Oryzias latipes: one gene and its partners. The protein of the gene in region 2 interacts with the protein of the main gene of each other region in a pairwise test. Links are inferred from orthologs where the notes say so. Each region holds a gene or a part of one and is shown on either strand. Other genes may lie near its edges.

Region 1 (3,756 bases), about 22 Mb from region 2:
CAGAATCGAGTATTCACCCGGACCATAGGGTTGGGCGATGTCCCTTAAATTGGCCGTTGACGATGTTTATTTCCCAATCCGCGATGATCCAGTATAAACTGAGGGAAGTGACTTTAACAAAAAAAGTAACAAACAAAATAGAAGAGAAGTAGTCCGCTCCCGCACTTCCGGGGGAGTGCGGACTTAAAGCTTTGTGTTTGATGGGAAGGGGGGGGGGGGGGGTACATGAGCGGTATGTGTGGGAGATTTAAGACTGCGATCCGTCCCGCAGCTCTAGGGGTACAAGCAACCGAACTCAGAACCGGGTCTAAAAGTGTGTCTGAGCACAGCTCGGATCGTCAGCACACACAGCGGTTTGAGCATCAAAGCAGAAATGTCGCTCAGTCCTTAGAAAACATTCAAACAATCACGTGGATTTGTGTTTCCAGTCGTGTCCCGACTAAATAAAGGCTGATGTTATTCTTACATGTTTACGTGCAGCCAGCAAGCAGCACCATCCAAAGCTAATGTTGTTAGCCCGTGTTAGCATACTAATCCTGGCTTCGTTCAGAAAAAGCACTGACCACACGGATTAAAATTCAAATGATGAGCGAACAGGTGTTTCATAATAACCGTAACATTATTAAAAGCACGTTTAGAAGATCATCTCGTATTTTACCGAGCTGACATGTCAATGTATATAGCCGCTCGGCGCTGTTTAACATTGTTTTGTATTGAATTGTTACATACAATAAAGTTTGAAAAAAAAAAAAGCCGCTCGGCGGAGTTTATATCCTTCCGTTTTTCAAACCCTACTGCGCATGTGCGAATGATTTATTCCGACGGAAAGTGTGACCTTAGTGAACGTTTTTATATTCTAAAAACATTTTTCTGGAACCATGTACACGGTTGGATTCTAATCCGACCATTGATCCCATCAAGATATTTTGTACATGTAACCGCGGCTTATGGTGTCGACGCGCAACGTGGCGGGGGCGTGGCATCACGATGGTGGTCTCTCCATCGGGATGTCAGTCACCCATCACGATGGACGATGATATCGCACAACCCTACCGGACCATGGTATAATTCTGGATATGTTTACTGATATCTAAGTGATTTTGAGAGCTATATGGCGCTCTGTCAAAATGTCACTATGTTTTTTAGGACTTGCAAAAAAGGCTGGGTGTTATTGTAAAAAAAACTAACGTGGCTAACGTGCAGCGGTGTCAGTTAGTTAGCGTAGATCATTTCAGATCAAACCTGTTAAATACTTGTTATATAACAAAATCTGTATAAATTGACACTTTAGCTTACTGTACGTAAAAAAGATTAGTGAAAATAAAAAATAAATAAACCTCACATGTAGCTTATACCAACAAGATGCATTTTTTTTGTCCATTTTCATTCATAGACAGCCATGTTTTGATTTACCGTATACTGGTCTGCTATAGTTTAACGCATTTAGAATATTTGATTCAAGGCTGATGTTTTTCTCAAGTGCGACCGCCCAGCACAAACAGCGATGGAAAATCATCTTCATTAATTCGTGCAGCCAAGATGTGCACTGCTGCATTTGCCCGCATGTATTTTAAGTGCATCCAAGGTTGTTGGCCGCACATATTTAAAATGAAACTTATCTGTCACACAGTAGCTGTGAGAAATGTTTTTTCTGCATCATTTGATCCGTCCCCTGGAGGACGCTGAGCTGCAGAAACACAGCCGCGCTCAGGAACTATTTGGTGGTTTAACCCGAAACCCCAACCATAATACTAACCTTAAGACTTGGGGCCGAGAAAAAAGGTCAGGGCTGGCCCCACGAATTCTGAACATGATGTACGGATGGACACTGTCTTGATTTTTTTTTTTTTTTTATTCACCGGTTTTGACACATCCAGCTTTCCATACATTTGCAGCAGATGGGGGGACTTCTTGCTGGTCTTTCCGTCCCCGGTCCTGTCACAAACGTCGTTTCTACATGGTGGTTGACGCCCCGAACCGAGAGTTCTGGGTCTCCGGAACGAGCAAATGAGCGCGAGGCGTCTCAGAGCCACACGCGTGGAAACTCACGGTCAGCTCGCCGTCCAAACGCAGAGTAGTTCAGCAAACACGTCACGCAAAGAGTGCGTCTGAAGCCCTACCTCAGGAAGAATTTGGATCTGCGGCCGCTCTCATTTCGTGTTCCGTCGCTCTTGGTCCGCTCATTTATTCCCCAGAACCTCCTCCTCCTGCTGCTGTTCAGCTGCTGCCGCCACGCGCGGTTGATTTCTCTGCCGTTCAGATTCAGAACACGTGACAACCTTTTTTCGCAGCTCGTGGGTTCCCGCGGCGTGGCAGCATTGGGTTAGAAACAACCCCCCCAACGTACCTGAGCAGGTACCGCAGATGCCACATGTTTCCAGGACGGATTCCTCCCACGTGGGGAGTTTCTGTACGAACCGAGCAAAAGGGGCGTGTGCGTGCGTGAGTTATTACAGGGATGTAACCATTCCTTTCACCAACAATTCCATTTCTATCACAGCCTTTGGTTGCTGATTCGATTCAAAACTTTGGTTCATTTCAAATGATCCGATTCACTGACCTAAAATGGATCCAGAACATCTTCAGCCAAAACCTCAACCAGTGTGACTCCGAGATAATTCCTGGTTCAATGAAGGTGACGTTTTCCAGATGCAATGGATAACTTTCAAGTGTAAATTAAATATGTGTATAATCACACAAGTAAACCAGAATTGATGATAAACCCATTCACATTATAGTTTCCTAGAGTTCAGTTGTTTTACCACATCCAAAGAATCCAAAGGAAACATTATTAGAACATTCTAGCACACTGGATGGTCACATGACATTCAAAGTGTTTCCACACATTGGACTGGAATGATGGACTGTGGTCAGTTTTCGCTTTCATCACGTCTGTTGTCCACTTTGATGGTACTTGGTTGTTTTTACATCATAGTAAAATAAATCTTTGTTTCAATAAACGGCAATTACCAATATTGATAAAATGAATTTATTTTACTTTGAAAAGATTTTACAGTGATATAGGTCGATTTAATGAAAATTTTGCCTCGGACAAATTGATCTGGTTGGATGGTAGGAATAGAAATCGAATTATTGATTAATCTATTAATCATTACACACTAAATATGTATGTTTGTTTGAGTTTTGTGTGTATTTTAGTGTTTTTCTTAGTGTCTGTGCCTGTTAGTATGTTTGTGTTCAAATGTGTGTGTTATAATAATAATATATAATGTGTGTGTCAATAATATGGGACCCTTTGCAGCATTTATATTCATATTCTTTTTGTTAAATCCTTATAGGGTAAAACATCTGTTAGTTCTAGACAGCATCAAGGTGTTTTGATTTGCTTCGAAAAAATTAAATCACATTTAAATGTTAAATGTATTTTATATAAATTGTTTTTAATTAGAAATGAATGAATGCACTAATGGGTTAATCCCTCACTTCCTAGTAGGAACAAATGATGAGCTTCTGTCTTTTCTTTAATTTGTCAGGATTTACTAAAAACAAATGATTGATCAAACCAGTTCACTGTGGAGTGGTTTCAATAAAAATAAAACCTTCACCACCCTTTGCTTTTCTTCTCCTTTTCTGTCCTTTTTTCTCATTCTTCAGTTTCTTTATTTTGTGTTGATTCTGTTCTTTTACCTGTTTTGTCTTCCTGTACAAGTGTTGCAACAGAAATGTCTTGCTGTATCCCTGCCTTCTCTTTTTTCAGTCACTCGGATAACTATGCGTCATTTTACCGCTTTAAAA
Region 2 (3,169 bases):
CATTAACTCACAACACATTAACTCACAACACAACACAATAACTCACAACACAACACATTAACTCACAACACAACACAATAACTCACAACAGATTAACTCACAACACAACACATTAACTCACAACGGAAGTAAAGCAGCAATGGAAGTGCTTTTATTCTGAAATTTCCACTGGGCTGATTGGCTAACTGCCTAACAGAAAGTAACGTCACAGTGAGCTGTGGAGGGAGCATGTTTCTTCTACAAGAGAAGCTACACAATGTTAACGCACACTCCTCCGCGCTGCACTCACACCCCTCTCTGTCGCTGCGCGTGCTCCGCTCCTCTCCGTTCTTCAGCCCCCTCCTCTCACACTCACTCGGTCCCCAACACCCCCCACCCACCCACACACCCTCCCAGTCCCTGCACGCGCTCCTCTCCTTTCTTCCCCTCCCTCTTCCTCTCACACACGCACGCGGTCCCCAACACTTGACACGACACATGTGGAGAAATCCCCACTGTCAGGCTTTAATGAACACAATTTCTAAGAGGCGGGGCGTTGCACTCCCCCAACAACAGGTTAGATGACAAAACCCGGTCCATTAAGCTCTGCCGTTCACGGAGCTTCAGTAGAACTCCAAAAGCCACACGGCCTAACGTAGGCCGCTATTATATATTCATGAGTGGGAAAAAACCCGCTGAACCGACCTTTAAACCATACAAATTATGCATTTTTGACCGCAAATTTACACCCAAAACCGCCCAATCTGGCAACGCTGCTGCTAGCTTCTCTTGTAGAAAATCATGCTCCCTCCACAGCTCACTGTGACGTTACTTTCTGTGAGGCAGTTAGCCGCTCAGCCCAGTTGAAATTTCAGAATAAAAGCACTTCCATTGCAGCTTTACTTCCGTTGTGAGTTAATGTGTTGTGTTGTGAGTTAATGTGTTGTGAGTTATTGTGTTGTGTTGTGAGTTATTGTGTTGTATTGTGAGTTAATGTGTTGTGTTGTGAGTTATTGTGTTGTGTTGTGAGTTAATGTGTTGTGTTGTGAGTTATTGTGTTGTGTTGTGATTAATGTGTTGTGTTGTGAGTTAATGTGTTGTGTTGTAAAGTTAATGTGTTGTGTGTAAAGTTAATGTGTTGTGTTGTAATTTATTGTGTTGTGTTGTGAGTTATTGTGTTGTGTTGTGAGTTAATGTGTTGTGTTGTGAGTTAATGTGTTGTGTTGTGAGTTATTGTGTTGTGTTGTGATTAATGTGTTGTGTTGTGAGTTAATGTGTTGTGTTGTAAAGTTAATGTGTTGTGTGTAAAGTTAATGTGTTGTGTGTAAAGTTAATTTGTTGTGTTGTGATTTAATGTGTTGTGTGTAAAGTTAATGTGTTGTGTTGTGAGTTAATGTGTTGTGTGTAAAGTTAATGTGTTGTGTTGTGACCCTTCTGGGCCACCGTACTAAATAGTGCCTTCAGCATTTTCTAGTTCTGTCCGAATCTACAATTCCAAAATCCAGTGCCCTGGAAATTTCCCTGAAGTCTCTGCAAAAAAACCTGTGTGCATCGATGCTCACTATATCATTTAATATAGACCACAATGCATTGCGTCGGAACATTTTATACCAAAATAAATGCGTTAAAATGTATTTTTTTAATAGACCATCAATGTTTTTATTTTCAGGAGACAGTGGACTCATAAATAATCGTCGCAAAACGCTCACAGCACTTCGTGAAATTGATGACATCATATTCGCCGTTTAAAACAAAAGTAGTGAGCGTGGCGTCCGAATTGCTGTTAAAATTCAGGGCTCGACATAGTGCAGCACTATAGAGTTTTTTAGTAGTTAGGGGTTATGGTGGGAATTTGGACAGAGCCTTGATCTTATTTTGAAAATGTTCGTGTGTTTTAGAATTTGGATCAGTTTTTTTGTTCATGATAACTTCTCTGAATCAGTAGGAGTAGAGTGGTGCGTTCCAAGGCATTGAAAGCACCGTGTTGTGTTTGCGTGCGGCTTCTCTCCCGATGCAGGACGACTGCAGGGTTGTTCTGGCAAAGCAGGAGATCAGCTGTTTACTGGAGACGCTTCAGAAGCAGCAGCACCAGTTCACGGAGCTGGCAGACCACATCCAGCTGGACGCCGGCATCCCCGTCACCTTCACCAAGGTCTTCGTCTGCGTTTGGAAACCTTTGCCTCGCGGTGACAAACCCAAAGCTAAACTGAAACGTGTCTTCAGGACAACCGAGTTCACATCGGACCAAAGATGGAGATCCGGGTGGTGACTCTGGGGCTCGATGGGGCTGGAAAAACAACCATTCTATTCAAGCTGAAGCAAGACGAGTTCATGCAGCCCATCCCAACCATCGGTAAAGACGTCTGCACTGGTTAACCATACGATCTTTGAAAGATTGAGTTGAATGAAACTTGGTTCTGGTTCTTTTTTGAGGCTTCAACGTGGAGACCGTCGAGTACAAGAACTTAAAATTTACCATCTGGGACGTTGGTGGAAAGCATAAGCTGAGGCCGCTCTGGAAACACTATTATCTCAACACTCAAGGTTGGTGCTTCACTTGTTATTCTTCTGATTAACTTATAGTGGTTAAATGAAAAAGGAGATTTTGCTCAGCTTTAGTTTCTTTTTTTATCGACCAAGAACTTCGCAGATGGGGTCTTCTGGAAATTGTCTCAGTAACAGCAGGAACAGACTTTTTTTTAACTTTATCTAAAGTTGTTTTTAGACTTTTTTTTGTAAACTCACTTTGAGGGAATTGCACCACAGACTTGTCCTGTAGTCGTCCTCATCCAGAGAGTCGAGTTGTAGTAAATGCTTGTGTGCAAAGCTCACTTTAAGCTGACTGCATATGAAAACTGGACGGAGTGACTCCTCCCCCCTGGCGTCCCAAACAGGAGGTAAATCCTGGCTCCCAGAAGCCAAAAACCTATAGACTTCTATAAATAAACCGCTATTACTCAATCAATGAATGATTTTTCACCTTTTCTATCACAATTTAAGGCTCCAGCAGAAAGAAATGGATCAGAGTAGAACTACCAATCAGATTGACTTGATTTCAATTTATTTAACAATTTACATTTAAACCAAATGGATGTTATTTTTACTTTTGCATAATTAGTGACATAATATGAAATGTGATAGAATGTTTTTAGAATCAATTTGATATCAAATGGTTTTTGTTAAGCTCCGC
Region 3 (3,756 bases), on a different chromosome or scaffold from region 2:
GTTTCTTTAAACCAAAAGAACATGGACTGGACATTGTTTCCCACAATGCATTTCATTTTTGTAGTTAAATTGGACGTGTAAGGGCATATACATATATAGAAAACAAAATACCTTGTCTCTAGAGTCTAGAGGGACTCGAACTTACAATCTTTGAATCTCTTGTCAACGATTTATTTAGACATCCACTCTGCAAAAGCTGCTTGTTGATAGAGTTCAAGCTCGCTAATTCTTGGAATTGATTTCCAATCAAATCACACATTTTTGCTGATGGGGTTACCTGTTGCAGGTGCTAAAGGTATTTTTCATTTGGTGGTTTATACTAGATGTCCTCCGTTGTAGGTAAACCAGCTGTGTTTTTCCGCTAATGGAAACGTGTAGTAAAATAACAAGTAAATCCCCTTTAATCTAACAATTAAAAAGTTATTTATGTGTGTTCATCTTTTAAATCAACAGTCAGATTTTTTAATATTGTCAATACATCTGTATTTTTCACATAAATAATTTATTTTATGTTATTCTGCTGTAGTACATTAAATAGACCATTATGATGTTTTAATGTGCAAAATCTCCAAAGTTTAATTTAGTGTATATTTCCGTTAGTAACAAATGTCATATACTATTAGGCATGCATATTTCACACATGGCAGAAGAGATCATGAAAGCCACGAGGCCGACATAAAACCTCCAAAATCGCACACGTTCCAAGCGGGGCTCGAACTTGCAACTTCAGGGTGTGTGTTATGAAAGTTGGAAACTTTATATCGACTTACGGGCGCTGTCCTTTTCCCACAATGCATCACGTGTTTGTAGTTAACGCAGTATTTGAGGCGCATAAACTGTAAAAGTAAAAAAGTGCGACTCTGGTGGGACTCGAACCCACAACCTTTGAATCTCTTTTGATCGATTTAGCTAGAAGTCCAATGCGCTATCCATTGCGCCACAGAGCCGGTTGGTCGAGTCAAGGTCTGCATAGAAAGCAAAATTTTCAACATTCGTGACTGACTGTCGGCGTTGGAAAGTTTAAGGATCAAACATTCAAACAGAAAAACACGCTTCGACATTATTTTTTAAATCTGTCTCTATATATTTATACGTATGTATATGGATAAAAAGGACCTTTTGAAATGCAGCGGAAAATCAGTCCGTCATTTCCGGTGCTGACCGGAAGTAGTTAGCTGTTAGCGGAGATAGCCGGGTGACTTGTGTTGAGGTTGAAGAACAAACACAAAGACATGTCTGATCAAACGATAAACCTGATAGTCAACTACGGTAAGAAAACGTTTTGAATTTTAAACAAACGGAGACTGAAGCGGCTCCGAGTCTTAGATGTGACTGTAGCTCAGAAATCCTTTGCTTGTTGTTGTGTAGCCCAAACGCAAAAACCGGTTCTAGGAAAAACTTCTGCTGATCATGATGTGAAATGAACTATTTACTGTTAGGCATTGAATGTCTCAGCAAACTGCTTTACCTGTCTGCTCAAAATTCGAATTATGTTCATTTTTAATTGTGGATTCATAACAAATATAACGTGTCATCAAATGCTAAAAATAGCAGAAAAAAGGTTCAAATCAAAAGACTAATGAGGATCAGACTCTACAAATGGGTTTGATTATAATAAACTTTCAAGAAGTCTCACTTCATTACAGATTTTAAATGAAATAAATTGTAATTGATTAATTTTTGTTGGCTTCACAACTGAGGTTTGGCGATATGAATTCACACAAACCTGTTTTATTTATGTTCACAACGTTATGACAACTGCATGAATGTCTGTTGATCAGGTTCAGTAAAACACAACATCAAACTAACGAGTCCAGATGACGGCAACGGGCCGGCAGTGAAGGATTTATCAGAAGCTGTCTGTCAGGCCACCGGCGTTCCCCCCGCCTCTCAAAAACTCATCTTCAAAGGTTTGGGTTTGACCTACATTCTTTTTTTTTTTTTTTTTTGAATGCATCCCATAATTAGGCCTTGACTCCATGTCGCGGCATTGTGATAGTTTCTGAAAACGAAGATCTAAAGTGATCAACCAGCTGAGCGTTGTTGCAGTGTCGTGGTGATGCAGACAAAAACGGTTGTCGTGGTTACCAGTTTCTTTAATTTGCTAAAAACTATACATAAGGAAGACCAAATCTTTATTTCTGTATTTTCTTTGACTTGGTGCGTCTGCAATTTTTTGCTAACATATTCTTCTTTCTTCAGGGAAGTCTCTGAAAGAGATGGACGAGAGGCTTTCCACCTACGGGATCAAAGACGGCTGCAAACTCATGATGATCGGGAAACGGGTAAGACGCTCGGGCGCCGCCCCTGATTGAGTTGGCGTGCGCACATCCCACTGACAACGCTGTACAAACAGAACAGTCCGGAGGAAGAAGCTGAGCTGAAGAAGCTGAAAGACATTGAGAAGTCGGTGGAAGTGACCGCCAAGAAGCTGGAGAAGGTGGACGGGGAGTTGACGGGACTGAAGAACGTGAGCCACAGATCCTGGAGGGAGAAAAGCATCGTCAGATGGGTCGTTTCTTTGAGGTTTCACCTCTTTTCTTTGCTCTGCAGGGCTTCTTGGCCAAAGACCTCCAAGCTGAGGCTTTGAGCAAACTTGACCAGAGAGTTAAAGTTGCTGCTGAGCAGTTCATGAAGATTCTGGAGCAGATAGACGCCATAGTAATCTCTTTTTGGATTGAGCTTTTTATCCCTCGAGTGTTGGTCATTTCTAACACACTCCTCTCTCTCTCTCTCTTTCCTCTAAAGTCTGTCCCGGAGAATTTTAACGACTTCAGAGTGAAGAAAAGGGGCCTCATAAAAACCGTGCAGGTTAGCCAGTAGGTTTCTTTTTTTCTGCTTTTACTGACGACGCTAAAAAAAATTGACTCCTATTTTTCTGTTTTTCGTGGCCTCAGGACTTCCTGGCCCAGTGCGACAGGCTGGAGGCGGGTATATCAGACCACCTATCAAAGACCCAGTCCAAGAACTTGGCTCTGGCAGACTGAAGCTGCTTCCCTTACTGTGTGCTATCTGTTGCTCTGTGAGCAAAGTGTACCAACGGCTTCAGATGTGGAGCAGATTTTATTTATTTCTCGGTGTGATGTGCTTCATAACGAAAGGAGACTTTGCTGAGATCATGAGGGTCAGCCGTAGGTGAAGATGCGTCTCAGACTCAGACATGGACTGGAGCGTCGGTGGTGCTTTGATGTTTACCGTAGATCAAATCCTCCGTCTGTCCTGTGGCGTTTTCCTCCCATCGGCCTTCAGCTGTTCCTCTCGGTCGCCGCCAGCCTGATCCACAGAAGTAAGTGAACCCTCTTTAGATGTTTCCACCACGTCAACTTGAAGAGGTTTGTGAATTTACAGAGTTGTATTTTTGTTATAAAAAAAGGAGAAAGTCAAATTAGGCAAATCACATCATCATCAACTGACTTCTACTGTACATGTTCATCAAAATCACGACGACTGCAGAAAAATGAATAAATTTTAAGCCAAAAAGACAGATCTCCAATGTTTGGACGTTTATTTCTGAAGTCCCGCTCCCATCATCTTCTGATCGATTTTCCCAGCATTCCTTAATGATGATGCCATTTTTAGCCAAAATCAGAGTAAGCCAGCCCCCACTTCCCATCGCCCATCCTTTTATACAGTGAGCTTAATGGAAAGACCCACTCTGGGGAAACTGGTGTGTTTCTTTAACCTCTTCTTGGGGCATTTTTCTGATGATGGAGGACAAATATTTAAAAGAAATTCAGCTTAAATTGCAAATCTGAG

Evidence for each region.
Region 1: the proteins of trim23 (region 2) and nek6 interact in binary tests that used the Homo sapiens proteins (3 or more experiments, as listed by UniProt). The link is inferred for Oryzias latipes from reciprocal best matches to the Homo sapiens genes TRIM23 and NEK6.
Region 3: the proteins of trim23 (region 2) and bag1 interact in binary tests that used the Homo sapiens proteins (3 or more experiments, as listed by UniProt). The two-hybrid records come from large-scale screens. The link is inferred for Oryzias latipes from reciprocal best matches to the Homo sapiens genes TRIM23 and BAG1.

The regions. Positions count from the first base shown.
Region 1 is NC_019870.2:24,939,228-24,942,983, reverse strand, and holds the start of nek6 (serine/threonine-protein kinase Nek6), read right to left. Parts: upstream 2,227-3,756; 5' UTR 2,121-2,226; intron 1,776-2,120; exon of another isoform or gene 1,757-1,775; intron 1-1,756. UniProt on the Homo sapiens protein: Protein kinase which plays an important role in mitotic cell cycle progression. Required for chromosome segregation at metaphase-anaphase transition, robust mitotic spindle formation and cytokinesis.
Region 2 is NC_019870.2:3,055,311-3,058,479, reverse strand, and holds part of trim23 (E3 ubiquitin-protein ligase TRIM23), read left to right. Parts: intron 1-1,996; coding exon 1,997-2,131; intron 2,132-2,202; coding exon 2,203-2,332; intron 2,333-2,412; coding exon 2,413-2,523; intron 2,524-3,169.
Region 3 is NC_019875.2:29,408,373-29,412,128, forward strand, and holds bag1 (BAG family molecular chaperone regulator 1), read left to right. Parts: upstream 1-1,138; 5' UTR 1,139-1,232; coding exon 1,233-1,269; intron 1,270-1,781; coding exon 1,782-1,910; intron 1,911-2,202; coding exon 2,203-2,285; intron 2,286-2,356; coding exon 2,357-2,470; intron 2,471-2,553; coding exon 2,554-2,661; intron 2,662-2,748; coding exon 2,749-2,811; intron 2,812-2,897; coding exon 2,898-2,987; 3' UTR 2,988-3,486; downstream 3,487-3,756. UniProt on the Homo sapiens protein: Co-chaperone for HSP70 and HSC70 chaperone proteins. Acts as a nucleotide-exchange factor (NEF) promoting the release of ADP from the HSP70 and HSC70 proteins thereby triggering client/substrate protein release.